4 linked regions of the Tamandua tetradactyla genome follow. The protein of the gene in region 1 interacts with the protein of each later gene in a biochemical or structural test. Links are inferred from orthologs where the notes say so. Each region holds a gene or a part of one and is shown on either strand. Other genes may lie near its edges. The genes, in order: WWP2, SMAD7, DVL2 and PTEN.

The links.
Region 2: the proteins of WWP2 (region 1) and SMAD7 are reported together in a solved structure, tested with the Homo sapiens proteins (2 studies listed by BioGRID, with this or other methods). The link is inferred for Tamandua tetradactyla from reciprocal best matches to the Homo sapiens genes WWP2 and SMAD7.
Region 3: the proteins of WWP2 (region 1) and DVL2 form a complex in vitro, tested with the Homo sapiens proteins (2 studies listed by BioGRID, with this or other methods). The link is inferred for Tamandua tetradactyla from reciprocal best matches to the Homo sapiens genes WWP2 and DVL2.
Region 4: the proteins of WWP2 (region 1) and PTEN form a complex in vitro, tested with the Homo sapiens proteins (7 studies listed by BioGRID, with this or other methods). The link is inferred for Tamandua tetradactyla from reciprocal best matches to the Homo sapiens genes WWP2 and PTEN.

The regions. Positions count from the first base shown.
Region 1 is NC_135342.1:63,871,587-63,878,863, reverse strand, and holds the start of WWP2 (NEDD4-like E3 ubiquitin-protein ligase WWP2), read right to left. Parts: upstream 3,019-7,277; 5' UTR 2,908-3,018; intron 1-2,907. UniProt on the Homo sapiens protein: E3 ubiquitin-protein ligase which accepts ubiquitin from an E2 ubiquitin-conjugating enzyme in the form of a thioester and then directly transfers the ubiquitin to targeted substrates.
Region 2 is NC_135344.1:34,119,870-34,127,328, reverse strand, and holds the start of SMAD7 (mothers against decapentaplegic homolog 7), read right to left. Parts: upstream 3,004-7,459; 5' UTR 2,855-3,003; coding exon 2,251-2,854; intron 917-2,250; coding exon 863-916; intron 1-862. UniProt on the Homo sapiens protein: Antagonist of signaling by TGF-beta (transforming growth factor) type 1 receptor superfamily members; has been shown to inhibit TGF-beta (Transforming growth factor) and activin signaling by associating with their receptors thus preventing SMAD2 access.
Region 3 is NC_135332.1:61,100,604-61,107,883, forward strand, and holds the start of DVL2 (segment polarity protein dishevelled homolog DVL-2), read right to left. Parts: upstream 3,021-7,280; 5' UTR 2,797-3,020; coding exon 2,603-2,796; intron 329-2,602; coding exon 259-328; intron 1-258. Other genes in the region: PHF23 (PHD finger protein 23), read right to left, coding at 4,094-4,308, 4,415-5,252, 5,825-5,917, 6,087-6,118.
Region 4 is NC_135339.1:47,986,461-47,993,405, reverse strand, and holds the start of PTEN (phosphatidylinositol 3,4,5-trisphosphate 3-phosphatase and dual-specificity protein phosphatase PTEN), read right to left. Parts: upstream 3,013-6,945; 5' UTR 2,877-3,012; intron 1,999-2,876; exon of another isoform or gene 1,866-1,998; coding exon of another isoform or gene 1,824-1,865; intron 1,823-1,823; coding exon of another isoform or gene 1,769-1,822; exon of another isoform or gene 1,626-1,768; intron 1,462-1,625; exon of another isoform or gene 974-1,461; 5' UTR 958-973; coding exon 879-957; intron 1-878. UniProt on the Homo sapiens protein: Dual-specificity protein phosphatase, dephosphorylating tyrosine-, serine- and threonine-phosphorylated proteins.

The sequences.
Region 1 (7,277 bases):
CCCTGGTCCATCTTTCATCTGGATAATGACAATAGACTCACCTTCTGCCTCTACCCTCGATGCCCTTTGTGCTTTCTCTGCACAGCAACCAGAGTGAGTAGGTTAAAAGATAGGCTGGATTGGTCATTCCACAGCTGAAAACCCTCCAACAACCCCAACTCACTCTGAGTGAAAAACATCCTTCTGATGGTCTACAAGACCCTACACCACCTGCCCATCTCTCCTCTTTCCCCCAACAGCAATCTGACCTCAGCTCCTACCACTCTACCCTTCGCACACTCCCTCTAGCCACACTGGTCTACAGGCATGCTAGGGGTGTTCCTTCTTTAGGGTTTTCCAACTTCCCACCTGGACCTCTCTCTGCCTGGACCATTATGCCCCCATTCAGCCATGTGGTTCCCTCTCTTACCTTTAGATCTTCTACTCAACTGTCACCTTCTCAGGCAGGCTTTTCTAAGCACCCTATTTAAAACTGCAACCCCACTGAACACTTCGCATCCCTCTTGTCTGCTTTATCACAATATAATATGCATCTTATCCATTTTCCTTTCCCCATTAACATTTCAGATCTGCAAGGGCAGGGATGGTTGCCTTTCTTATGTACCACTGTATTTCCCCGCAACTTAGAACAGTGCTATCTGGGGGCCACATATGTTAACTTCTTATTTTCTAGGAGCAACATTTTTAAAAATAAACAGTTGAGTAATTTATTTTAAAAAATTATAATAAACAATTTTAATAAATTTATTTACCCAGTAGATTCAAAATATTACCATTAATAGTATATATTTGTATCATAAATATAAAATATTTTTATATAAATCATTTCCATAAATTTTATATAAATGATTTCCATAAATGATTAATGGTAATTAATAGTATATATTTGTATCACTAATATAAAAATATCAATGATATATTCTTGGTTTTTCATACTAAATCTTCGAAATAGAATGTGCATTTATCTCAAGGGTTCAATAGCTGGTGGCCACTGTACTAGACAGTGCAACTCTACAATAATGCAAGGACCTATATCCATTGAATAACAGAATGTTTTCCCAGGAAGAAGAGGTAGTTATGACAAAGGATTTTCTATATAGTCTACAGTACTGATTTTTACTGTGATTATACTATTAATATTTTTTCTTAGAATGCCATTTTTTTAATATTTAAAAATAAAACTTAAAATCATCTCCATAAATGAAAAAGAACAGGTCTAGGGATAAAAAGCCTGCACTTGCCTCCCTACTGTGTCATTTACTAGCTCAGCATCAAACTTCACAGGCTTATGGTAGAAATTAAATGGGATATTTGCACAAAGTTCTTTGTAGATAGGGAAGGAGTCATTAAGTGGAAGAGACTGAGAAGCCAACCCTAGCCTTTCACCCATGTTTAGGGTTTTATTTCCAAATGGACCAACAACACATAAAAAGACAAGCATGTCTCGCAAGAGCTAAGATAGAAGACTTAAGTTAAAATCCTCTGTCTGCCACTTTCAGCAAGGTGACCTTTAGAAACTCATTCATTCATCACCTATTTACCAAGTGCCCACAATGTGCCAGGCACTAGGCTGGAAGCCAAATATATAAACCCTGTCCTTGAGGGATTTGCAGTCTAGTGGGGGAAAAGGGACCAGTAACAAGAAAACAAAAATTGTTAAAAATCGATTTGTCCCTCTCAGATCTTGTGAAATGTGAAATGGGACTAATATCTTCCCAACCTAACTCACAAGGTGACTACGAAAATTAATTTTTCAATGTTTGTCAAATACTCTACAACCTGAACTCATAATACATTAGCAAAGTTACTTTTTTTGTCCTACTTGTAATCTACGACAACTCTGGGTCCTGTGAATGTCCAGTTTAAACATTTACTCCAGTTATGCTGTATTCTTGAAACTTATTTCACTTTTGCAAATTTTAGTAAACATGAATAGAAAGAGGAGCTCGAGAAGCTTTAATACAGGTATCTAATCTCAAAACCATGATTCATAGGTCACGGTTCTAAGGAACACAACACAGACCTCTCAGCCACCCCAACTAGTTACAGTTTGTCAAGAAAAGTAGTCACATGGTAAGGGAAGCTGAATAATTTAAACCAAAGAAAGAAGCAAAGTCACAAAATGTGTAGGTAGACACTGCTCTGTCCAAGATTTCAGCAGTTGCGGGGGTAAATGCTGGACTAAGTCGCGGTCAACAGTTTCGACTGTCATTTTACAACGAGAGATAAGTACCCACATTTTTTTTTAAGTCTTAAAGATGACCTGATCTGGGAAAATCTCAAAGAAAGGTGATCTGAAGGGCTAGGTTCCCGAGAAGAAGAAACCCGATCCAAGCAGGACTAAGGGGGTGTGACGAAAGCAAGATGATCAAGATTCCGTGATCCCTCCTGAAGTTTTAAAAACTTAAAGGGACAGAAATCAAAGTCTCTGGTGACAATCCTTGCAAAAGAGAACGGAAGGAAGAGACTCTCAGATGAGGTTCAGGCAGCATCTGCTTCCATCTCTCCCTCTTTCCCTCCAAGCCAAATGCCCATTCACAGGCACCTCCTTCCAGTTCAGTCCCAAGTCCCCCCTTCCTCCTCTCCCGATCCCTCCACAAATGTCACACCTCTCCAGCCCCTGGCATCCGGGAAGATTCACTGCCTGCCGAACCCCTGGCTGCCTTTAGAGACCACCCCCGTGCAGCCCCCGCACGCGGCCCCCGGCGCGCCCACCCCGCACCGGCGGGAGCCGGGACACCCCTCCTCGGAGGCCGGAACCGCCACGCCAGGCCCCTCCCACAGGAAGCCGCCGCCCCCCGGAGCCCGGGCCGCGCCGCCCCAGGCCCAGCACTTGCCGCCGCTGACCGGGGCCCGACCCGCCAAGCCCGGCCGCCTTCCGGGCAGCCCTGCGCCCGCGCTCGCTACCTGCAGCGGCCACAGAAGCGGCGCCCAACTCCTCTCCCACTTCCGCCTTCCACCGACCGCACTCGAGCCGGGTCACGTGACCACGGGCGGTCACCTGACCCGGAAGAGGCTGGCCGGGTTTGCAGGTGTGGGCAGCCGGGCCTGGCCAGGAGCCTTTGGCCTGGGTAGCGCATTTTATTTTTGTGTTTTTAAAGTGGAGGGATTTTTTTTCACCTCCAAGATGCTCCCTGAGCAATCATAAATTGAGGGTCACTGAGGGCCAGGCGCTTCATTTTCTCCTCCCATCAAATCTTTGGGGGCGGGTACTATCATTTAACCCCATTTTACAGGTGAGAGGAGTTAATTCAATAGATGAAGTCAACAAATATTTATTGACCTCCATAGTAAGGTTGCCGGATAAAATACTAAAAAAAAGAAAAGAAAAGTATTCATTGTTTATCTGAAATTGAAATTTAATTGTGCAACTTGTATTTTACTCAGTAAATCTGATGATCCTGCACCTATTGTGTGCTAGGCACTGTTCTAGGCTCTAGAAACAAAAATCCCTGCCTTTGTGGAACATATGTTCTTGTGATATTGAACTAAAATAGAAAAGCTTCTTAAAAAACCCTGCTTGGGGGGTGCAAGTCTTCCTCGCAGGGTGGGAGATGACTCCCAGAGATGAATCCAGCCCTGGCACAGTGACATCAACAATACCATCCTAAACAAAAGGGAGAAAAGAAGTGTAACAAATAAGGTACCAGTGGCTGGGAGAGCTCAAATAAACTGGGGAGGCTACTCTGGAGGACACTGTTACGCAAGCTTCGGTTAGATATTGCTACCTACTATAACTTGCCAAACCCCAACCAAAACCATTCCAGCCAATCCTGAAGAATGCCTAGGGCATTTTATAAGATTCTGCAAAGGTTCCATGCACTAGGGTAACTTTCTAGCATCATCTTATTGGTAGCCTTCCTTATTTTTGGGGTGGTATTTCTAATGCTAATCTAAATTTTTGTAGTTTTTGGTTCTACTTGCTGCAGCATAGTTTATATGGTTTATCGCCTTTATAACTATTGTGTTTGTTTTTCAGATATCTATTTCTTTTTTTTATGGTGGTATTGAATCATGGCTGCAATTTCTTGGACACCCCTCCCATCAACAGTTGGAATTGATGCCCCCTCCCCTTGAATCTGGGTGGACTTGGGATTGCTTCATCCAATACAGTATGGAGAAAGTAATGCTGCATCACTTCTGAGGTTAAAACATGAAATACCATCTTGTCAGCTGAAACACTCTTGAAGCCCTGAGCTACCAGGTAAGAAGTAGTACTCCTTCCACGAGGCCACGATTCTGAAGAGGCCATGTGCAGGCTCCCTAGCTAACTGTCCCACATGAGCCCAGCCTTCTAGCTGTCACTGCCAGATGTGCAGTCGAAGCCTCCTAGACTCTTCAGCACAGCCCATCTGGCACTTGATTTATCACCCAGTGATCTGCATCAATGCCATGGAAAAGGAGAATCACCCAGCCAAGCTCTGTCTGATTCCTGATTCATAAAATCATGAGCTATATGACTCCTTTAGGGAAGAATTATGAAATAATTATTTAAAAAATGAAGAACATGTTAGTGGTAGCCAGGAATCTGAGATGCAGGGAATGGGTGTCTTGATTGTGGTGGTAGTTAAATAAAGCTCACATGTGTGAAAGTTACGTGGACACACACACACATACCAAGTGAGCACAAAAATTGGTGAAATCCAGATAAGCCCTATGGATTGTACTGATTTTGGTTGCTTGATTTTAAAGTTGTACTGTGATTGTCTGCAGTGTTGATATTGGGGGAGAGTGGTAGGACTTCCCTATACATTTCTTTGCAACTTCTTGTGTATCTTTAATTATTTCAAAGTAGAAGTTTTAAAATGATGGGCTCTCTTTTTCTAAGCCCAACTCTGCTAGGGAAATCATTGCCCTCCCCACTACGTGGGACATGACATCCAGGGTGAAAGTCTCCCTGGCCATGTGGGAGATGACTTCTGGGGATGAGCCTGGCCCTGGCACCATGGGATCAACAATGTTGTCCTGACCAAAAGTGGGGAAAGAAGTGTAACAGATAAGGTTATCAGTGGCTGTGAGAGCTCAAATAGAGTCAAGAGGCTACTCTGAAGGTCACTCTTATGCAAACTTCAGTTAGACATTGCTCCAAATTATAGGTTGCCAAACCCCAACCAAGACCACTCCAGCCAGTCCTAAAACCTAGGGCAATATATAAGATTCTACAAAATGTTCTATACACTAGGGTAACTTGCCAGAAAACTACAACCTCCAGTTGGGTTCCTAGACCACACAAGTCCTGAAATGCAGAGGGGCCAGCCTCTCCAGAACATCAACTAGTTACATCCCCATAGCCCATATTACTGATAGCCCCTTCCAAAATGAAAAAGTTAGCATGGGCATAGCCCAAATACACCTAAAGAGTAGGAAGATCAAAGGTGATGGTGGAGTTATACCGAAATGGTAGGATTTCACAAATGAGTATGATTTCTGAATCATTTTATTGATATTTCTTTTAGTTGCCAGTATCTTAGAGCAGTATCTTAGAGCAAATTCTGGGATCTGTCCTATAACTATTTGTTGAAGAGTGCTTTGAAAACTATTGCTTTTTTATTTCTTTGCTTTGTTATGTATGCTCTACTATACAGTAAAAAAAGTTAAAAGGGATGAAAAAATTTCACAGCACAGCACCACAATTAGTTGTAGAACATATTTCAGAGTTTCACACGGGTTACAATTCCACAATTTTAGGTTTTTACTTCTAGCTGCTCTAAGATAGTGGAGACTAAAAGAGATACCAGTTTAATGATTCAACATTCATATTCATTTGTTAAATCCTATCTTCACTGTATGACTCCACCATCACCTTTGATCTTTCCGTCCCTCTCTTTAGGAGTGTTTGGGCTATGACCATCCTAAATTTTTCATATTGGAAGGGTTTGTCACAAATATGGGGTAGGGAGATGGAACCATCTGATGTTCTGGAGAGGCTGGGCCCTCTAGGTTTCAGGATTTATCTGGACCAAGGACCCATCTGGAGGTTGCAGGTTTCTGGAAAGTTACTCTAGTGCCTGGAACCCTTGTGGAATCTTATATCAATATATAAGATAAGAACCCTAGGTGTTAAGATTGGCCGGAATGGTCCTGGTTGGGGATTGGTAGGTTATGATAGGTAGCAAGGTCTAACTGAAGCTTGCATAAGAGCAACTTCCAGAGTAGCCTCTCAACTCTATTTGAACTCTCTCTGCCACTGATACTTTATTAATCACACTTCTTTTCCCCCTTTTGGTCAGGATGGAATTGTTGATCCCACAGTGCCAGATCCGGATTCATCCCTGGGAGTCATCTTCCACATCGCCAGGGAGACTTTCACCCCTGGATGTCATGTCCCATGTAGGGCGGAGGGCAATGATTTCACTTGCAGAGTTGGGCTTAGAGAGACTGAGGCCACATCTGAGCAACAAAAGAGGTCCTCCAGAAGTAACTTTTAGGCATGCCTATAGGTAGTCTGAGCTTCTCCCCTACCTACATAAGCTTTACAAGAGTAAGCCTCAGGATTGGGGTCATGGCCTATTGATTTGGGTGTCCCTAAAGTTTGACATGGTGTCAGGGGATTACCTGATGGTAAGGTTTAATAGTTCCATATTCCTTCTCTCATCCCTCTTGGAACTTTTCCTTTTTTGCTGTGCAGGCACCGGAAATCGAACCCAGGTCTCCTGCATGGCAGGCGAGAACTCTGCCTGCTGAGCCACCATTGCCTGCCCCTCTAGAAATTTTTGTGCTTTGAAATTTATTGCTTTTTTGTATAAATGCTATTTTTCACAAAAAAAGAAAAAAATCAATTGTGGTGATAAAAAATTACTTATTCGTTATAGCCTCCAATGTTATGGGGCAGCTAGAAGGAAAAAATCTAAGATGATGGTATGGTAACCCATGATAAACTCAGGGATCTGCCCTGTAACTACTTGTTAAAGAGTGCTTTGAAAACTATTGCTTTTTTCTTTCTTTGCTTCGTATATATGTTATACTATACAGCTTAAAAGGTTTAAAAAAAATAATAAGGCATCAGTGACTAAGAGTGATCAAATGGAGTCCAGAGGCTATTCTGGAGGCTACTCTTATGCAAGTTTCAGTTTGATAGTGCTAATTGCCATGGTTTGCTTAACCCCAATCAACATCACTCCTGCTAACTCTTAAGAAAACCTTGGGCTTGAGACTCTATAAATAAAGTTTGATGCACTAAGTTTGCTTTCCTGGAACCTATAATTTCTAGAAGGCTTCTAGGCCTGATAAATCCTGAAACTCAGAGGGACCAGCCTCTCCAAAATTATCAACTAATT
Region 2 (7,459 bases), on another chromosome or scaffold:
GTCACAAGCTTTACATTTTTCAGACACCACTATACAGGCACAAGGAAAGAAGAAAGTTATAATCCATGCTTTCAGCAAATAAATGTCCCACGGTCAGAAGGAGCTCCAGGAAACTGGAGCTCTAAGTCCCAGCTTTGCTGACCCTCTCCCACTCCACTGTTCCCTACATAGGGTGAGCCCTCCTGCTGCCAGCCATAAGTTGAATGCAGACAACCGCAAGCAGGTTGGCAGGTTGGTGCCAGCCTCCAATGGGCTTCTGCCCTGGCTGGGTGCCATCCGGTGACAAAGCAACAGGCAGGCAGAGCTATGCTAAAAACTTTTATGGTCCCTACCAAGAATTCTGAGAGAACCCCAGGCCGGAGAAGGCTGACTCCTAGGTGACTGGAGATGGGGAAAAGTCTTTAAAATCTTCTAAAAATCTCCCTCCAAATCAGTCTTCACCGCACCTTTTTAAACTGCCTTCTCCTGCTTCTATTTGCCCAATCTTCCCACGGATTCTCCTGGCACTCACAAAGCAAAGACTTTGAATTTTCCCACCAACCTATCCTATTTGGCTCCTAAGACATTTCTGTGTGGACCAAAGCTTCCATGTGTTAAAGCTGAGCCAACTTCCGCCACGCAGGGCAAATACATGAGAAAAGAATAGAACATAAACATAACTAGGAAACATCTCCATAAATTTAAAAATCCAGCCACAACAAAAACTCGGAAAAACCCACCAAACTTCCAATAGAGAAAACCGACAGGCTGGGAAGGAAGCCCAGCACTTTCCCAGATCGCTGGCCTAGGAATAAAACCTGGGTTCTAGAGGCTTCCTTCTTAACTAAAGACAGTAAGAATATTTTAAAAATCCTCTACTCACCAGTTGGTTTGAGAAAATCCATCGGGTATCTGGAGTAAGGAGGAGGGGGAGACTCTGGAATTAAAAAAGTAAGAGAAAATAAAGGCCGAGCCATGAGAAAGATAGAAACTTATGATAACAGAGGCATTCTTTAAGCCCAACTGTTTGTCTTAGCTGTGGGGGTTGGAGGCTGGGCCGCGAGGCGGTGATTGCCTTGATATTTAGCTGTCAGATAAACAAAAGAGGCCGCCTGGCGCCAGCCTCGGCGCTCCGCTCCTCCACGTCTGCCGGGGCCGCCGCCGCGTTCGGCGGGCCGAGCTGGAAACCACCGACTCGACCCGGGCCGCGCAATTCACAGTTCACCGGGCGGGGGGCGACAAGCCCCCCACCCCCCGGCCTCCAGACTCCGATCTCAGTGCTCCCCGCCCCGGCCTGCCCACCAGGGGCGCGATTCATCCCGGTCCCGGCCGCTCCGCTCGGCCCCCGCCAGGGGGGAGATTGCGGAGGAGGGCACGGGGTTCCCCTTTACCGGCCCGAACTTTCCTGGTTGAACTTGAGCCGGGGGTGTCTACAAGAGTCCGGCTCGGGGCACCCCACCTCACCCCACCCCCACCCCAGCACAGGCTTGGAGAAAAGGGAAGGGATGGAAGAGGCTGGGAAGATAAAAGGAGACAGGCTACGGGTCTTAATCCCGAAGCCCAGTTCAGGGCCCAGCGCGCTAAGGGGCAGCAACGACAGGGGGGCTCCGGGGCACACAGCTCTCCACACACTTCTATGCTTTTCTCTGCTGGGAGGAAAAAGTAGAGGAGACGTAACTTCTCGGGACCGTTTTTCTTTTCACTCTGGAGCTGGCCGAGTTGAGGTGGATATCAAGTTCGGCCTCCCATCCTAACCCTCTCGGCCCGCCCCAAAGCCCCAAAGCTGTGCGACCAGGGCCGTATCTGAGCCACTTGTGCCTGCCGCGACTGTCCGTATTTCCTAAAAGACAGGAGGCTTTTCCATCCTTTACAACTCCTGCTTCTCCCAGCCTTCTTTGGAGGACTTGGACGAAATCCAACTCGGCCACACATCCTAACGCCTTTCCGGGGGGGGGGGGGCGGGGGCGTGCCCCCTCCCTTTTCTCTGCATCCCCTGGCTGATCCGGAAATGAGGGTGCCTAGTTTTGAACCGCATGTCTGTGCAGTGTGTGCAAGAGCAGTGCTCACAGCCCCCTTGGGGGCAACAGACGAGAAACACTGGAAGGGAACCCCCAGGGAATGTCCCTCGAGTCTCCCCTCCACCCGCGCGTCCCTTTTCCATTTTTTTCCCAAGTCTCCTCCCAGGAAGGGATGTACACTTCCCCCAGGAGTGTTGACAATGGTGGGTGGCGCGGAGGAGGTGAGGAGGGTAGGGGCAGCACAACTTCTTACCTAGTTCGCAGAGTCGGCTAAGGTGATGGGGGTTGCAGCACACCAGCTCGGGGTTGATCTTCCCGTAAGATTCACAGCAACACAGCCTCTTGACTTCCGAGGAATGCCTGAGATCCGGCCACCTGAACACTTTGCACAGCAGGAGGGGGAGCGAATAGGACGAGGGCGACTGCGCGGGCTGGGCGCCGGCGGGTGTCCCCGGACCCAACCTGCAGTCCAGGCGGCCGGGCAGCAGGAGGCACGCGGTGCGGGTACCGCCGCGGGACTCCACCGCCTGGAGCAGCAGCTCCAGCTGCCGCTCCTTCAGTTTCTTGAGCACCGAGTGCGTGAGCGCCTTCAGATCCGCCTCGGCGCCCCCGGCCGCGCCGGCGCCCGAGGCTGGGGGGTGGGGATGGTGGTGACCTTTGGCACCTCTGACCGCCTTGCCCAGGCAGCAGCCAGCCCTGCCCGCGCTGCCGCCGGCCCCATGCGCCCGGCCGTCCGTCGCCCCTTCCCCCCGCGGCTCTCCTCCACCTCCCCCCGCGCCCTCCTCCTCGTCCTCGCCGCCGGGCGCACGGCTCCTCCAGAGACGCCGGACGAGCGCAGATCGTTTGGTCCTGAACATGCGGGGCGAGGAGGCGAGGAGAAAAGTCGTTTGCCGGCTAAGGAGCGAACATGACCTCCGCACACCATGAAGAAGTCGGGCGCCGAGTTGGGGCAGCAGGCGCAGGCGACAGCAGCAGCAGCAGGGGCCCGGGCAGGAGCGGCGGCGGCCCGAGGGGCGCTCCGTGGCATGCGCCAGTCTCCCGGAGGCCGGGGCGCGCGCGGGGTGCGCTGGGCGCCCGCCGGGGGTCAGGGGCCTGCGCTCCGGCTGCCCCACCCCGCGCGGCCCAGGCCCTGCGCGGCTCTCGGGCCCCGGCGCGCCCCGGAGAAACGCGGCCGCCGCTCCCCTGGGGGCGGCCGAGCCTGCCCTCTTCCGCGCCGCCACAAAAAGACGCCCCCCCGCAGCGGCTCCCGAGTGTCGGGCTCGCCAGCCTCGGCTTCCTACATGGAAGACCCGCGGGGGCAAAAAACGAAGGGCGTTCGGCAGTGCCGGTGGAGAGAGGAAAAAGACTCGTTCCCCCTTGCTAAGCAACTTAATTTGGGGGTGGGGAGAAGCAGGCAATTAAAAAAAAAAAAAGCAGGCACGCGATTTATTTTTTTCCTCTATATCCTTAGTAACCGGATCTCCTCGAATTCCGTGCACACGAAGACTCGGGGGAGGGGGCCGAGTGGACTTCACCCCGCATGAGATGTCTGGCGAAATAAGGAGGCTCTCTCAAAACCTAAGAACCAAATATGCAAAGCCAAAATGAAAACACAACCTTCTCACACCCCGGAGGTCTGGGGGCGTCCGGCTGGAGCTGGGGTTTAAAAAAAGAAAATATTTACAAAGTAGAACAAGATGTTTGAGGGGTGGAAAACCGTATCCACGAGTTACATCCCTCCTTTTTTCTTGCAGAGCCCCGCTGGTCTTCTCCTTTTCTTCTGCTCCCCCCAGAAAGAAAATATATGTATGTTTTTAATCCACAGAAAGCTTTGGCTTGGTTGCTTCAATCCTCCGCATCTGGGTATTTTAGGCAAGTCTCTGGTCTTTCCTTCTGCGCTCCCGGGGCCCGGGTCCTCGGCGGGGACTTCCTTGGGGCTGGCGGGGGCGCAGGGGCAGAAGATGCTGCGGCGGCCGCTGAGCCCCGCGGGGCTGACAGCGCGGGGGTGGGCGGCGCGGCGGCGGCGGGCTCCTGGCGGGTCGGAGCGCTCTCGCCCTCCCGGGCGCAAGCTGCTCGCTAGTGCGGGGGCCGCCGGCGCCCCCTCCTCTGGCAGCGGCTGCCAGCCGGGGCTCCCTGCATGGGCCGCTCGCCCCGACCCGGCGGCGACGGCAGGAGGCCCCGGGGTCCTCTCGCCGCCTTCTCCTCCGAGGCTCTCCTCGTCGCGCCCCGGAGCCTCCTTGTCCCCCGTCCGCCCTCTCCTGGCGCTCGGGTCCTTCTGCCGCCGCTGGGGACTCGCTGCGCCGCACTCAGGATCTCCGAGGTCGGACGCTCAGGGGCTCGGCGCCGGCGGGCTGGCTCCGTCTCGGGCAGCTCTCTCCCGCGCGGCAAGCAGACGGAGCACGGCGCCCGGCTGGCTCGGCTGGCGCGGCTCGGGGACAGGCTCCTCCGTGCGTCGAGCGAAGAGAGCTAGTGTGCCCGGGGCTCGCCGCCTCCCGCTAGGCCTCCCGCCCCCGCCCCCTTCCCTCCCTCTTCCCTCCCCCGCCCCCAGCCGCCGCCGCCTCCCGCCCCCCCCCCCCCCCCCCCGGCCCTGTGCTCGGCTGGTTCCACTGCGCAGTGGCGCGCCCGGCTCCGGCCTCGTCACGTGGCCGTCTAGACACCCTGTCGCTTTAAAAAAAAAAAAGCGATTGTGTTTCGCAAACAACAGATCGGGTTTCTAAAAGCTATTTCACCCCCCCACCCCCCGCCACCGCCACCCCCTCTCTGGTCTGCGAACGGGGACTAATGGGGGAGGGAGAAATGTGGGGAGCAGAGGCTCCCAGAATCGACTGCGATTTGGCACGAGCGGAGGAGAAACGCGAAAAAACGGGAGCACCGAGCTGGCTTCGCCGGCGAGTTTTGGAGCGGAACAAGCCGGTGGGTGGCTCGATGTGGACCCAGCCCGCCGAGCTTCGCCCTTCATTCATTCGTTTTGTTTTAAAGGCCCTGGCGGTGGATCCCTTTGGCCGCGCCGGAGAGAAGGGGGAGGAGAGCGCTGCCTCCGTTTAAAAGACATTTACACCGAACTGGACCGAGGCCCTGGGAAGTGTGTGCTGGAGGGAACAGCCGGGCCGCCAAGGGCGGGGAGGCGGCGCGAGTGTGACCTCAGCGGCGGCCGCGCGCTCCCTCCCACCCTCTCCCGCTCCGGGCTCCGGTTTCTGGGACTGCCTGGAGAAATGTGTCTTGTGCACAGCTCTGGAATGCATTTGGCCGGCTGACGAGCTGCGAGGGGCAGCGTCGTGGCGGGAGAAGGGAGAGAGCGGGAGCTCGCCCGCCCCCCGCCAGCAGGTTTCGCCCAGGGCCGGGAATGCTGCAGCCTGGCTACCCCACCTCCTGGCGCGGGAAGGTTACCCTCGGAGCGGACCTGCCTGGGGCATGGCGTATGCATGCGGGCTTTTGCAGCGCCCCCCTGGGCCTTGTACCTTTCAAGGTGCTCAAGATGCTTCGGGTCAGAGTTTATCCCCTGACCCAGGCTTGGGAGAAGCATACACCTAGCAGACAGGTTTCTGCGCAGAAGTGGGTAAGGAATTGCTAGGGTGAAAGCCCAGAATGTATTCACAGAGTGATGATACTAAGAAACGTAGTGATTTAGATATCTACACATCAGTCGCAGCAAGGCCTCCAGTAGCCATGGCGATTTAACCTCATGCATTTTATTCAACGACATATTTTTTTTAACATCATTTCAAATTGTGAGATCTGGACAACAAAGAAACTCAAACGGTGATTTTTAGAAAAGGTGAAACGTACTATTTTCATCTCTCTACCTAGATTATAAATTCTTAAAAGGTTCAGCTTAATTTTAGACAACTTTATAATTGCAGGCTCCCGGAGTCCCCTCCAGCACCTTTAAAGGTGTCTGATGTGGAATAGATGCTTAAAAAATATTTAAGAATCACGCTTAGGTAGGACTTGGGTAGGACTTTTAGGGGCATTTGGGCCACTTTCTCCTCTCCCCAAAAACACACCTTTGGAAACGTAAGTGAGAGGGGATCAGCAACATTGGTTACAAGGTCATCTCAGGCAAGGAGGGCCTGAAGCTTACTAACCTAGAAGACAGCAGATGCCAAGCAGTGTGGAAACCTATAGGAAGTGGCAGAAGCTGTCACTCTACACATTTATTTTATAAGGCTTCCTAGGGTGCAATTGTATAAAATCATACTTCTGCTTAAAAAAAAGTTACTTATCGAAAAGGTCATTGAAAACTGGGTGGTGTGTAAAACTTTCTAAAAAAGCATCCTCTAAAAGACAGCAGCCAAGAAAGTCCTGGAGGAAATGGAGAAGGAGGAGTTTTGCATGGGGTGATCCCATCAACATACACACCTAAAACCAGAAGAGACAGAAATGGGATTTTTGAGTTGTCTGGGAAATGTCTAACCTACTTACCTGAGAAAGGCTTAGAAAGAGACTAGAGCAGAAGTCAGAAAACCTGATTCCTGCAAGTAAAGCAACGTGCACTACTAATGAATCTCCTGGGAGGAGGGCAGCTGGCTGGGGTTGGAGAACTTTCTGGGCAAGTTTCCTGTCCTCTTGGGGTCCCATCCCCTCTCTCACCTCTGGACCTTCCTGGAAGATATTTGCTTTTTGAGAGGGGCTAGACTGGGTGGGAAAATGACAGGAAGAACTTAAATAAACAGAGAGAGCAACTGTCGTACATTGTAATTAAGTGTCTTGACTAAACAGAGACTCTTCAGAATCTTTTGGAAACCTGGTCAGTGGTGCTAAGGCCCTGATGAGTAGTGGCCCAAGTGCACACAGGGCCGGTAGTAGGTGTTTCTGTAGTTGAATCTGACGTCACAGCTTGTCTGCGTGGAACATGCATAAACTTGCAGAGCTATGTTCCCATATAGTGTAATTGTGGGTATTTTAATTCAGGCGTCACCCCTATCTTGCCCTCTCTACATAGCTTTCTTCCTCTACTTAACTACCCTAGGTAGAAGATCGGTGGGATTCCAGACAAGTAGCTGCAATGGTCGGTGCTGTTTTATAGCTCCCAGGCATTGCCTGAATCAGTTAACATCTCAAGCTTTCCTGCAGCCGGCCCCACCCCATCCTATTCTTATTCCTTTCCTTTCCCAGAAAGAAGCTGGGCAGTAGAGAATCCTCTGGCTGGCTGGGGTGCCTAGACAGAGAGTTCCTTTCTTTCCCTTCCACAGGCACAAATGTGCACGACAAGCAAGCACACCATTTCAGACTATTCTGATCCTGTTTTAAAAAAAATAAGTTTAAGAGTTCACTCAACTATTGTGAATGAGTTTGATTCTAATCATTTGCTGGCAGGGAATATGGAATAAAATATCTCATTTGCAATTGTTTATTTCCTGTTGTGGCTTCTATTTTCATCTTTTAGTCACTTTGGTGATAGTAATCAAACCCTAATCATGGTACAGCCACAAGTCACAGAGACCAAAATAACTTGCAGCCGAATATGACAAACACAGATAATG
Region 3 (7,280 bases), on another chromosome or scaffold:
AATTGGGAGGCAGGGCATGAGTGCTACGAGTAAGGGAGAGGTTTAGAGAGTCTGAGAGACTGAGAGAGCCTAGAGAAGCGCCCAGAAAGCAGCAGCAAGCAGTAGAGGCTCTAGAGGAAGAAGGCTGAGGGGATCCAGACCCCAAATGGGCAGGAAAGCAGAAAGTCAGGGCCTCCACGACCGAACAGAGGGCTACAGATGCTGGGGGGAGCTGGGCAATGTGGAAGGGCCTGGGCCCTTACAGTCAGGGCCCCTTACCCAGGAGACCACCCTTCCATTGAAGCAGGGAAGGCGGGCATTGTCATCTGAAATTTCTTCCTTCACCACCCTGCAAAGAGATAAGATAAAGGTCAATGAGGCTGGGCAATTTTCCCCCAGCTCCCATCCACATTTCAAAGTTTCTGCATCCTCCCAACCTTCCAGCAGCTCAGGGATGTTGACTTTCTCTCCTTATCCAAGTCGTATTCTTTTACTCTGCAACACCTCCCTCTTGCCCTGAGAAGGCTCTAAACTCAATTAATTCCCTTTCCTTATTTTAACTTCTCTCCCCAGCTCATCCTTGGGGGCTCAATGCTACTGCAAAGATTTCCTTGAGTCTGATTCAAATCTCTCAGTCCAATTGAAAAAACCACCCTCCCATGGCCACCCCAGGAGCCCAACATATCCAACCTTACCAGCCTTGCTGGTGACCTCATCCCACCCCCATTTCTCTTCCTCACACACCTACCCTAAAGGCTTTGGGCTTCATCTCTCTAATCATGCTCCCCTTTATTTTTCTTTAACTAATCTTCCAGAGATCTATCCAAACGTGCTGCTTTGCTAGGTGAAAATAGCCATTAGTCCAAAGAACAGCACTTCGCCGTTAGGCTGAGCGGTCCCACAGCAAAGGAGCCCATCCTCCCATTCCCATGTGCCTCACGTGGCACAGAACTCTGCAGAAAGCAATCTGCTCAAAAGGGAAGCCCAGGCCTACGGGTCATCTCTCCACTGGGTTCCTTATGGTAGACTGGACTTGGCCCTTCTTGTCAAGCACCACATCAAATGAGGAATGCCCTTCCTGTTGGACACCAGGCCCTGACCACACAAGCTGGTATCCAACGCTTAGGAAGCGTTAGCAAATATTTGACTGAATGAATAAATAAATGAACTATGAGACTCTGGTTTCTCTATTTCCTCTCATACACACATTCTCACACCCAAATTGGGACATCCTGTTGATTAATCCTTTAGCCTAATATGGGTTCTGAGAGCTTGGATATATGCCAACTTAATCCATTTGCTACCAGCATGACCTGTTCTGTATCAACACAGCCAGTTACTACTAATCTCAGTGTAATGTAGTTTCCGTCCCCAAATCGCAGTCTCAGGACAGCCCAGTGACTCCAAGACAAGTTATTCTGTATCACTATAACCTAGTCTAGGACTAGTCAACCTTGATACAAATAATGATAATTACTAATCACTGAGAATTTACGTGTGCCATGAACTTCCACTAAGCATTTTATTCAGAGATTATCTTCATTTCACAGTTATGCACATCAAAGTCCCAGAAAGTTAAATATGTTGCCCAAGATTACAGTGCTGACACATAAAAGAACATTGATTTAACTCCAAGGGAACTCTCCAGACAGCACTGCTCTCCCAGTGTCAGTCAGCCCTTCTAGGTAGAACACAGTCATAATTCTTCAAGAACTCAGGCTATCCCAACTTAATCTAGCCTGCCTCCAGAAGCACTGAGACTGAGTGCCCCTGAGGGATTGTCCCAAAGGCTATATAAAAACATAAGGGCTTGCTCTGCATTACAAACAGCCTAGGGTTAGCCCAGGATAGTCCAGAAGGTCCCAAATTACTCCAGCAAAGCCCACTGTAATCTCACACAGCCTAGAACACCCCCCACCTGCAGCTGTCTACAACAGTATAGACTGAGATATCCCCATACAGCCGTCTGTACTAGTATAGACCCTAACTGCCCCAGCTGCCCCAGTATCAAGTATTCTAATAAAACCACGGCGGCCCCAAAACAAACCAGGATCAACCATACAAGTCTGTCTAACCCAGGAGAGACCAGAATAGACCACGTTTCTCCAGAACAGCCTAATCTACTCCACGACAGCCTGGAACATCCCAAAACCGCACTGTCTGCATTAGTAGAACCTAGACTGTCCCCCCAAACTATCTCATTATAGGCCCGAAATGTCCCAAATTGCCTCATGATAGCCCAATCTATCTCAAGAGATCCCTGTATACTCAGGGTGCTACAAGACTGCTCAGAAGGTACTCAACTACCAAAGGACAGATCCATCTAGTTCAGGACAGTCTACCCCCCAAATAAGCCCGTGTGCCCCGCTCTAGTTCAGTATAGCCTAATCTTCTCTAATCTGGTTTAGTACAGCCCAGTCTGCCCTTCTACAGCTAGCTCCGTGTGCCTCCATTCGCCGAAGCATAACCTTGTCCGTTCCGGGAGAGTCAATCTACCCAGCCTAGAACAGTCTGCTCCACGAAGCCCAGAAAATCCCAGTATGGTTCAGAACAGATCTGTGTCCCTCAATATTGCTCAATCCACTCCAGCCCCCATCGGTCCTAGTCTAGGCCTCGCGCTCACCCGAAATCTTGATCCATAGACTTGAAAAAGTACTTAGCGCCCGCGGGCCGCTGCAGAACGCTCTTGAAATCGCCCAGGGTGATGCGCTCGGCGGGGACAGGGATCTTCACCAGGTAGGGAGTCTCTTCCTCATCCAAATGGTAAATCACCTTCGTCTCTCCGACACCACCAACCCCCGCACCGCTGCCCGCCATGGTCTCGTCCGCGCGCTCCCGGGCTCCGCCGCCCACCCACCCGGGCTGCTCGCCCACGCCGCGCCTGCGCACACCCGCACACCAAAACGCGACAGCGGACAAGGCCGGCAGCGTCCGAGAAGTGCGGGAGAGAAGATAGCGGGTGGCGGGGGCGGGCCGGGCGTGGGGCACTACCCAGAGCCGCAGACTTCGCCGCCGACGCCGCGAGCAGACACCGCTGCCCCGCCCACCTCTCCCTGTGTCACGTGACCCACACCCGGCCTGCCTCGCGCTCCCCGCTGTCCCTCCGTCACGTGACTTGTCCCGATCACGTGACCTCCTTGATTCCTCCTAGCGCCCCCGCCACATGAGCGCTGCCTTCAGCAACGGTCTCCCAACCCTCAACAGCCCCACCCGAAAATGTGTCCCCACCCGTGTCTTCCACAGCACCCGGGCTGAATCTGGCTTCTGCCCTCTGAAACAGGTGGCCTACTCCCACCCCGCTCTACCTCATCAGGGCGGGAAGCTCAAGACAACTCTGATCCATTGAAGTGTGCTTGTGGGGGGTCTTAGACTGGAGATGAGGTGGGGCAATGCGGACCCAAGTCCTACCCTGGGGTTGTGCAGTTATCCGATGGTAAAGACCCACTGCAGGGGCATTTCCAGCCTGGACTTTTCTTCCCACTTTTCCATAGCCTCCCTCCCAAACAGGACAATCAGTGAGAGCTATAAACACAAAAGAGCCCATTTCGCTTTATTTACAACATGTAGGCTGTCTGTACAGCTGGCCAATATTATTAAAAACAAAAGAGGTGAATGAGAGAAATGTCACCTTTCTGCTTTTCTTCCTCCCTCAGTCAGGCTCTGGTACTCCACCTTTGAGCGGCCATGCCCAAAAGGGGAAGCCCAAAATTAAAAATACAACCGATGTTGAAGAAAATAAACAGGGAGATAGGAAGAAGAAAAGATGAGGAAGGGGCGGTGCTCTATTTACACTAGAGTTTACAGACAACTGCCTCATCCCATCCCAATTTCAACCCTGGCCCAGAAAGTGAGGCAGGCCCAAGAGGCAGGGATTTTGTGTCTAGGGACCCAGACAACCTCCAACCCCAACTGCTATGGATCCAAATTCAAGTCCAGAGGGTGGGGAGGAAGATAGGGTAGGACCATGAGATACTCATTTCCAAACAAGCCTCCCTTGGGAATTCCTGCCTTGAAGTAGGACAATGTCCAAGCTCCAGGGGATGGGTTGAGGACCCTGAGGCTCAGTTCCCAAGTCAAGTTGTCAACTGGAAGTCCCAGCCTGGACTTGGTGATGTCAAGGCTCTCCAGATTTGGGGGGTCCCCCTAACCGCCGGGCCTCTGGCCGCAGTTCCTTGCATTTCTGGCAGTAAAAGAAGTCAGGGACATTGGTCTTCTTAATCTTAGCACAGGAGAGATGGATCCATGTCCCACACAGGCTGCACTCAATCATGGGCCGCCCTGCAAAGGGTTTTCTGCAGTAACACGTGATGAGATCCCACGAGTCATCACCTAGGGAAAAGAAGGTTTGCTTGGTGTCCTGCTTGAGCTCTTGGGGGCCACGACTTCCCCAAGCCCCTCCTCCCACCTGCCCCTGGGCAGCCCCCAACCCCCTCACCTGATTCTACCATGATGTCCTCATCCATGACCCGCATCTCCCCTTCACTGGAACTGGCATCTCCATCTTGGCTTGTTTCAGTGCTACCCACCTCCTTGCTTTCACTGTCAGTGGGAGGGGCTCCTTCAGGAGGCCCTGTGGCAGGGGGTCTGGGAGCCTCCGGGGGTGTTGGGAGTACAGGGGCTGGGACTTCACCCCCTACTACTGCTGCCATCTCCTCTTCCTCCTCCTCTTCTTCTTCTTCCTCCTCCTCTTCAGAGTCTGTATCACTAGGGGGTGCTCGGGGAGGCCCAGGAGGTGGTAGTCTATCCCCCCGCTCTGCCTTTTTCAACTTCCGTTTCTTGCTCTTCTTGATTCGAGACCTCTTTTCCCCATCTCCAGGGGCTGACCGAGGCCTCCGAAGCACCCCAAAGCCAGACCCCCCTCCTGGCCCCAACTTTCTGTTCTTTCGGTCCTTCTTTCGAGGAGGTTGGGAAAGGTCTCCCTGGGAAAGGGACACTGGGGTGAGGGCAGTAGGGGGCCGGGAGACATGTGTTAGGGATGTGGGAGAGAGTGGAGATGCCACTTTGGGCCCATCCAGATCAAAGAGAGAGTCCTTGAGCTTCATCTTCTCAAGTAGGGTGGCACTGTCAGGGCCCTGCAGGCGAGAGAAAGTGGCCCTTGGAGGTCCTGGCTGGGTGGGACCTGCTTGAGCCGCCCTTCTCTTGGATGATTTTGCTTTCTTAACAAAGGTCTGGATGGTACGGAGATCTGAAGGGGCCGAGTCCCAGCCATCACTGTCTGCTGCACTCTCACCTCGCAATGGAGAGCTGGAGCCAGAGGCTGGCCAGTCACTTTCCTTAAAAGAGGAAGAGACCAGGGTCAGCAGGGGACCCAATGTCATCCCTCTACAAACCTAACCTGAAAACTAGACTGTATCTATGCCAAAATATTGTAGCCATCCACCAAATCTCACTCTATTCTGGAAACTTATTTCTACCCCATCCTCATCTCTTGTTGAGCACTTCATGTTACTTCTGCCTTCAAATTCTAGCCATCTCCCCTGCTGGGGCAATTGGAACACTGTTACCCAGACCCATGTTTCTTTAGCTGTATCTGTTTAGCCTCATTTGTTACCATTTTCAGCTCCCTAAAATGTATCCAGAAGGACCTTCCATTCACAGCATCCCAAATACCATTCAAAAATCTTGACTAAAGACCCAAGAACCAAGTTCAGCCTCTTCCATTGCTACCCAAGCCACCTATTTCCAATATTCTCCCAGATACTAATTTTCTCACTACAAACCTAGTTTCCAATTTTCCTAGTCTTACATATAATTTGTTAAACTCGCCTGTAAACTAATACAATTCCATTTGCTCAAAAGCCCTTCTGGGCTACCAGCTTCAAGCCAAGTGTTCTCCTGTCCCTACCTCTTTGCTAGGGGGGATGTAACCCGCATAAGCCAAGACAAAACTGCAGAATTTGTTGAAATCCTCAATTGTTCTCCGGCGTTTCTCTGGTGGCTGAAAGGAAGGAAACATGGATCACATGGAGACCAGAAGCTGGGGTTTCAGAGGGGCATTCCCAAAAACATAGTTCCTGGAATGAGGAATCTGGGAAAGCTGTGGGGATAGGGGGAAGAGCTGGGAAGCTAGAAGGAATATTGGGTTGCAAAGGCAAGGGAAACCTCACCTGAGTCTCTGGCTTAAGGGTCGGAGGTGGATCTGTGGAAGCAATAAAAGCTGAGTCAAGGTACTAGCAAACAGTCCATGCAAACCCCCCACCTTGAAACTTTGGCGATCCCAAGAGAACCCCCTCTTCTGCCAGGTCATCTGCCAGGCCAGCAGGCCCCCAGCTGTGCTGGAACCGCCGCCGTTCACCTCCCACCCCATGAGGGGCGGAGCTTGGGCGCGGCGCCCTCCCAGGCCTCGCTATACCGCTCCCCTTCCCCCCACCGAAGGCCCGGTGCCCCGCCTTCCCCCACAACTCACGGTTTCCCTAGATTCTAGACTACTCGGATCTCTTAGCGCCCCACCCCGCCAAACAGCACCCCGGGCCGAGTCAGTTCGCCGCCCGCCCCTGTCCTTCACAACGTGCCCAGTGTCCCGCGTTCCTGCCCCACCAAGCGCTACCGCTCCAGGCCTCCGGGATCGCACACGCCGCCCGCCGGCCCCCAGGATCCGATATGACCACGCCGAACCTCTCCCCGCCCTCCGGCCCCTTCAACTCGAGCACGAGGCCTGGCGTGCCCCTCACCCCCACCCCAAACACACAGACACACACATCACGTCCGGGACCGACCAGAGGGCTTTAACCCGGACGCTGCCCCACCTGCCCCCCCACGCCGCGCTCCCCACAATTTCGCCGTCCCTCCGCCCCCATCCGGGGCTTTGGCCCCTCCCCGTCTCGAGCTCCTTGGGTTCCCCGCCGGGCCCCTGGGCCCAGTTCCGAGCTCTCACAGGCCGTCCCCCCTCCGCCCCCGTACTCACCACCAAGTCACTAGGCTACGGACCCCTAAACTCTAGGCCCCCCTCCCCCAACCAGCGACTCTCTCCCTTCACAGCAACCCCCGCCGCTGCTGCCGCCGCCCCCTTCGCCCGCCGCAACTCCCAGGCGCTAACCCTCGCCAACCAACCCCCCCTCCTCCGGCGAATCGCCGGTCTTAAGCCCCCACCCCCACCCCGCCCCACCGCCCCCTGCAACTACCCAGCTCTCCTTGCTTCCCGGCCCTCTCTCTCCAACTACCCATCGGTACAGGTCCCTCTTCAGCAGACAATACCCAGACCCCTCTTACCCCCCACAACTACCTGCCCACTCCTCCAGCAATCACCAGGCTATCTCCGGCGGCAACTACCGGGAGCACCGGCACCACCACCACAAACTCCC
Region 4 (6,945 bases), on another chromosome or scaffold:
AGTTTAATCTCTACAATCACCAACTGCTATGTACACGATAGCCTTGGACCTACATGGAATTTGGGATCTAAAACCACTCAATCTTCATTCTATTACATATGATGTGGGACTGAACATAAAATGCTATCGCACTGTAAATTTCAAGCCCTATCCTACATCACCCTTTCCGGAGAGAAAACGGCAAATTTAACAAAGATCTAATAAGAGTGCCTTATAAGGCATAGTATGGCACTATTGATTTCAAACTACTAAACTTCTAACTGCAGTTCAAAGCTGTAATGAACTCAGTTTAAACATACAAACCTACCTTTGCCTTCAAAACGCACCGTATATGCAAAAAATGATTCTGCTTCTAAAGTTATGCAAATCAGTCCACAACACACATTTTATAAGAATCTATCAATGCAACCCAGGAAACTAAACACAATCACTGCAGATTCTGATGCAATATGCGTACGTGCAACACTAATTTTCATTTTAATCTGATCTATACCCTTGATGAAGCGCCTAAGCCAAGATTTAATCGAAATATGCTCAACCTCAAAGCCTCTACATTTTTGTTCATTTAATAAACCGGATTACCGAGCTCTCTAATCCACTGAGAGTACTGTATCCTGCATTAACGGACAATAGCCCCTAGGAAAAGACCACAGAGAACGACTAAGAAACCAATCTGCACCTTGACACTTGCAACCAGGCAAGAGTTTCGTCTAGCCGAACACACCCTACGTTGAGTACACTCAAGAGACACAAAATACATGATCTAGAAACCAGGGTTAAATGTGATAGCCCCCAATCTATGGAAATTATTCACATCCGTCTACTCCCACCATACGAGTGGCAGAAACGCAAAGAGTAGCAGCCGCAGAAATGGATACAGGTCAAGTCTAAGTCGAATCCATCCTCTTGATATCTCCTTTTGTTTCTGCTAACGATCTCTTTGATGATGGCTGTCATGTCTGGGAGCCTGTGGCTGAAGAAAAAGGAAGAGAGAGATGGCAGAAGCTGCTGGTGGCGGGGCTTCTTCTGCAGGATGGAAATGGCTCTGGACTTGGCGGTAGCTGATGCCCCTCGCTCTGCTGCCGCTTGACTCTGGACCGCAGCCGGGTAATGGCTGCTGCGGCGGCTGCTGGATGGTTGCAGCGACAGGGCCTGCTTCTCCTCAGCAGACAGAGGCCTGGCAGCGGCGGCAGCGGAATGGGGAGAAGACGAATAATCCTCGGAACGGCTGCCTCCTCCGGCGGCCTCCGGAGTCCGGGCCAGGGGGGGTGCGGCGGCGGCGGAGGGGAGATTTAAAACCGGCCCGGGTCCCTGGATGTGCCGCCGCCGCCGCCGCCGTGTTGGAGGCAGTAGAAGGGGAGAGACCAACTCTCCGACGTTCCCAGCCCTGGAAATGGTGACAGGCGACTCCGACCCCCTCCCCGGAGTTGCAGCCGCCGCGGCCGCCGCCGCCGCCGCCGCCGCTTCTCCCCCCCGCTCCAGGAGCGGGAGGTGCCGCCGCCGCGCCTCAGCCGGCTCCCTCCCGAGCCCACGGCTTCCACCTTCCCTTTCAGAAGAAACCAAGGAAGAGGCTGCACGGTTAGAAAAGAAGAGGAGGCGAGAAGCGTTGCCGCTGCCGCCGCCGCCGGCCGGCCGGCTCCCCGAGGGCGCTGCCCCCGCGGCTGCTCACGGGCGCTGAGAGGGGCTCTGGGCCGCGGCCGCCGCCGTCTATCATTTCCCTCGCCTGAGCCCGGCCTCGCCTCACAGCGGCTCAACTCTCAAACTTCCATCATGGCTGCAGCTTCCGAGAGGAGAGAACTGAGCGCAGCCGCGTCCCGACGCCCCAACGCATATCCTGCCGCAGTGCACAAAGAGTCCCGCCACATCACCGCCTGCCGGCCTACCCGCCCCCTCCGCCGCCGCGCAGAGCCCGAGCGCCTGGGGAGCCCGGGGGGTGGCGGGAGGAAGACGAGGTCGCGCCGGGGGAGGGGAAGGGAAAGGAGGGGAGGGCAGGGCTGGGCAGGGCAGGGCAGAAGCAGTAATGGGGGCCGAGCAGCGGCTCCTAGTGCAAACGCAGAGCCAGGAGCCTGCAGGCGCTACTGAGCATGCCCAGTGTGACTGCTGGGGACCCGCTCGGGCTTGTTCGGAGGCTCCCGCCTGTAACTGCTCGTGCCGCCGCTCCTTCTGCAGCAACGCTGGGCGGGGGAAACGGGCAAAGGCTCGGCCTCTACGGAGAAACCAAGCAGGAGGCAGGGTAGGCCGTTGCGGGGGAAGATAGGAGATGAATACTGAGGCCGGTGCGCTGAGCAGTGCCAGCCTCGAGTCTGAGGTTACCTGTGCACAGGTGGAGGGGCCAGGTGACCGCGCTGGTCAGTGTGTACGGAAACGCAGGCACTGTCCTTGCAGTGAAGACACCCCTCCCCCTGCCTCCGCCCCCATATTTCCCCGGTACTGCCTTCCTCCACACTCTCCTTTTGCCCCACTATCAGGCCACAGTCGTTTACCGGGATTTGACTGCAGCAGTTTTTGCCTAGAAATCCCACCCCTACATCTCTCCCTCTCTCCCCCACCCCCGTGTCTCTCAAGGTGTCAGTCTTAGCACAAATAACAAACAGCTATTGTGTCTTCAGTGTGTTTCTCCCTATCCGTCTCGCTTTGACTTCCCCCACCGCGGCTTCTGCAACTCGGCTTATTTGCCCTAAAAACGCAAGCTCCTAGGTGAGCGCCATAAGTATAAACAGATCAGCCCCTGAATTTCCAGGTAGCAAAGAACAACGGTCCAGATGGGCTGAAAGCGAATACCCGTGGGTAGGATGCACCCCGCGGGCCCTTCACTGGCCCCAGCAGAGCCAAGCCAGCCTCCCCTCGGGGTTACAGGTTGGTTCAACGCGACGTACCCGAGCTCTGGCCTTTGAGTCTATCTCGCCCCGCCCCTTTATGATCATAGCAAAAACCCGGCGGGGTGGATGATCCTGGATCTGCGAACCCGCAGCGAAGCTGCACCCGCTCGAGGCCGGGGCTGTGTGGCCGGGGTAGGAAGTACCGGACGGTAGGAAGCAGCAACCCGTGAGTGGGCGGGGCCGAAAAGACTTAGGAGAGTTCAAAGGAGGGGGTGGATGGATACAAGGGCCACAGACGGAACTACTTTCAGGAGGAGGTCACGTGTGCTCCTAGTTGGGGAACTTTCCAAATTCTCATTCCCCTACGATAGCTCTTGAGGCAAGTGGTCTGCTGCCTTCCGCTGGGGTGCGAGACCCCAGACCCTCCGAGGCGACGCCGGGAAGACATTCTCGGGGGAACCTCGTGCTGGAGCGCTATCGGCGCTGGCGCTGAGGAGCTGGTTACACAAGTACGCAGATGCAAGCACGTGCCCCCGCCTCTCCAGGCTAGTTATAGCCACCGAATTCTGTAGATCCTCGGGCGAGAGTTTCCCAGTTGGTCCCACCCCTCCCCTGCCACCGGCCCAACCGAGACCTGAGGTTCCTTGCTGTGGACTGCTCACGCTGTGCGTTCACATCCGTGAAGAGAAAGGGCTGAGCCCTGGGGGTCTGGAGCATCCGCCCTACCGGTGCTCTCTTCCTGAGGGCGAACCGGCCAGGCTGTGTGCACGCCTGCCAAAGGGGTATCTCTTGCAGCATCTCGCTGCAGGGTCCGCGATGTTGCAACAAATTTCTAGTCACTACCTTGGAGCTGGTGAGCGCGCCCCACCTACTGTAGACTCAGCCAAGTGACAGAGCTCGTCTGAAAACCTAGAGGATGGCCGTCTGCCCTGAACAAACCTGTCAAGTCTGTTTACAGTCCCGATCTATCCCTGTGAGAGAGAGCTCAGAACTGCAGAGCATTTCCAACCCCCGGACCCACCCCTTCTTATCAGCTACAAAGCAAATGGTCCACCTTCTGCATGGGCATTAATCAATACCAATGTAGGGATGCCTACCTTTTTGTTCTTTCCACTGGGAAGTGGAACTCAAGGCAACAATCTGAGTCCGGAAGGATCTGACTTGAGAATTCCAAATGTAGTGGAACCAGGCTGGGGCACTGGGTCGTTTTTCAAAATTCAGGAGAATGGGAATCAGTATGCCTGTGCATTGCAATAATTTTAAATAGGTGCCTAGGAAGGTCTAGAGAGGATTTATGCACTGTGTGAGAAAGGATTGTGTATGTGCTCATCATGGTTACAGGCAGCCTCTGAAGACTAGAAGCCCCAAGAGATCCAGCTTAGAAGCCACAGGCCATTACCTAACTCCAGGACTACTCATTAAACGGGGAATATTTACAGTATTCTCAGCGACCTCTGAAGCTCCATAAAACTTAGCATTTGTATACAACATCTTTTTTTAAAACAGCACCCTAGGAATTAGCAACCTGCCAAAGCTCTAATGTCAATATATTGGACTCTGGTTTTGTGCGTGTTTCTGGCCAGCTTGGAGGGGGTGGAGATCATGAATATAAAAGGAATTGGAGAGCAGTGTGGGGACGAATAGGAGAAAGCCCTGCTTTTGGTTTCCAAAGATGAAAATCCTGTCCATACAGCCTCGTGTGAGCTAGAAATTTCTTTATTTTACAAATAACCAAAGAGAAGGAGTCCCAGGTTTCAAGGTGTTCCCCTAGATTGCCTAAGAAGAAGCTGAGCTATCCCCAATTGAGTATCAACTACTTCTTGGGGGAAAGCGAAGATGAAGATGAAGCTAAATGAAGGGAAGTAGAATGGGGAGGGGTAAGATGTGCTATGTTTGTTTTCAGGTCGCTCATCTTGTCCCCAGAATATTTGTTATTTGCATTACACTGCTCCACCCCTCCCCTGGAGCCTGCCCTGTATGAACATTGGTGTCCCAACAGCTGAGAAACTCTCAAATCTGCTTCCTTGGGAGAAAATGGGCTCATTCCTGTCCCTCTTGGTGTCAGGCATGAAGAGAGGATACATTTCAATTCTCATAGCACAGAACTATTCTGGAGCAAGAGGGGATGCATCTGTAGCATTAAAATGCTAGAACCTGAGACTAGCCTGCAAGGATTTCTCTCAGACCAAAGGCAGAAAATAGGATATTTGCTCCTTCTCTGAACATCAAGTCCCTCTACTCCTCTCTAGTGGTGAAGGAAAGAATCACCCAATGTGGCAGATGTTTGGCCAGCCTAACAGTGCATCAAGTGGTTACTAGGAGTGGCTGAATAAAACCTCCTCCCTGTCCCAGTGTTAAGTATTTTTCTGAAGGAAATACTGATATATCCATTTTCACTTTTTCCTTCTACTCAAAGGATCTCCTTACCCAGATGGTAGATCTGAAACCTCTAAATAACTGGCCCTAATCTAAGGTGAGGAGAGTTAAAAAATAAATTGTGGGTTTTTTTCTTATTTAAATTACAATTATCTGCTTAGCTGTACAGATAATACAATACACTGGTTTCTAAGCACTTCAATTCCTTACCTGTCTGGATTCAGAACACCCTAGGGAGAAACAGAAGCTTGTAACAAAGGGAGAGTTATATAAAGCTTCAGGGAGACTAACTATACAGAATAATTAGTGAACATGATAAACCAGCTTTAATTATAGTTCCTCAGAGCTGATTCCAAAACTGTGCTGTTAATACACCCTAAGAAAGTCCAAGGAAAATTCCTTTCTTTTCTTTGATAAATGGAAATGACAAGCTGCTTGATGTGTGATATAAATAGTTGATGTGCTCTTTGTAGGTCCTGCTGCTAAAATGTCTTTTGTCTGTACTCTGATAGCTACGGTGCCTTTCGCATCTCCCACACACTGACCTTTCAAATAGAGATCTAAATCAATGGCTTTAATTTTTAAGTAATCTTCTCTATTTTTATCCGTTTAGCCAGTTTTCTAAATAATACAGAATAGAAAAATGTAGTAATTGTAGGTTTGAATTTAAATAGCCCATTTTTCCAAGGGTCTGAAGTCTTTTCCCTTATTTCATTTATCCTAATAACAAATATTGCTATTCCTTTACATATTCAAGACATTTCCTCAGAAGATACTGCCATGGGTTATATGTAAGTAACTATATCCTAAAAGAAAATTTTCCTGAACATAAGAAATGCTATATTCCAGGGGTCACACTGTGATTACACAGAAAATAAACCCAGTCAGCTCTTCATTCTGTGGGACACACTCTGTTCGTGTTATTTTTTTGTTTTCTAATATTTTTATTGAGACATCTTCACACATATACAGTCCATACATGGTATGCAATCAGTGGCTCATAATATCATCACATAGTTGTGTATTCATCACAATGATCATTTTTAGAACATTTGCATCACTCCAGAAGAAGAAATAAAAAGGAAAAAATAAAAAAGACAAAACTCATAAATCCCATGCCCGTTGCCCCTCTCTCTCATTGACCGCTAGTATTTCAATCTACCCAAATTTTATCCTTTATTTCCCTTATTATTTATTTTTAATTCTTATTTTTTAACTCATCTGTCTATACACTGGATAAAAGGAGCAGCAATACAAGGTTTTCACAATCACACAGTCGCATTATAAAAGCTATATATAATATACAATCCACAACGTTCCTCTTGTTTGGATTTATCAATGACAAAATTATAAGCACCATATGATGTTAGAGAATAAAGACGTAAGGATATTTTGAAGGGCAGGAAGGAGGAGTCATTCATCCCTTTCTACCTTCATAAATGATTCTGACTCCATTATCATGGAAGGAATAATTCTAGGTCCTGGGAATAAAGAAGGGAGCTGTATTAATTAGGGTTCTCTAGAGAAACAGAATGAACAGGGAACACTCGCAAATATAAAATTTATAAAAGTTTTTCATGTGACCGCGGGGATGCAGAGTCCAAAATCCGCAGGGCAGGCTGTGAAGCCAACGATTCTGATGGAGGGACTGGACAAACTCCACAGGAGAGGCTCATCAGCCAAAGCAGGAAGAGCCTGTCTCTTCTGAATCCTCCTTAAAAGGCTTCCAGTGATCAGATTAAGCATTACT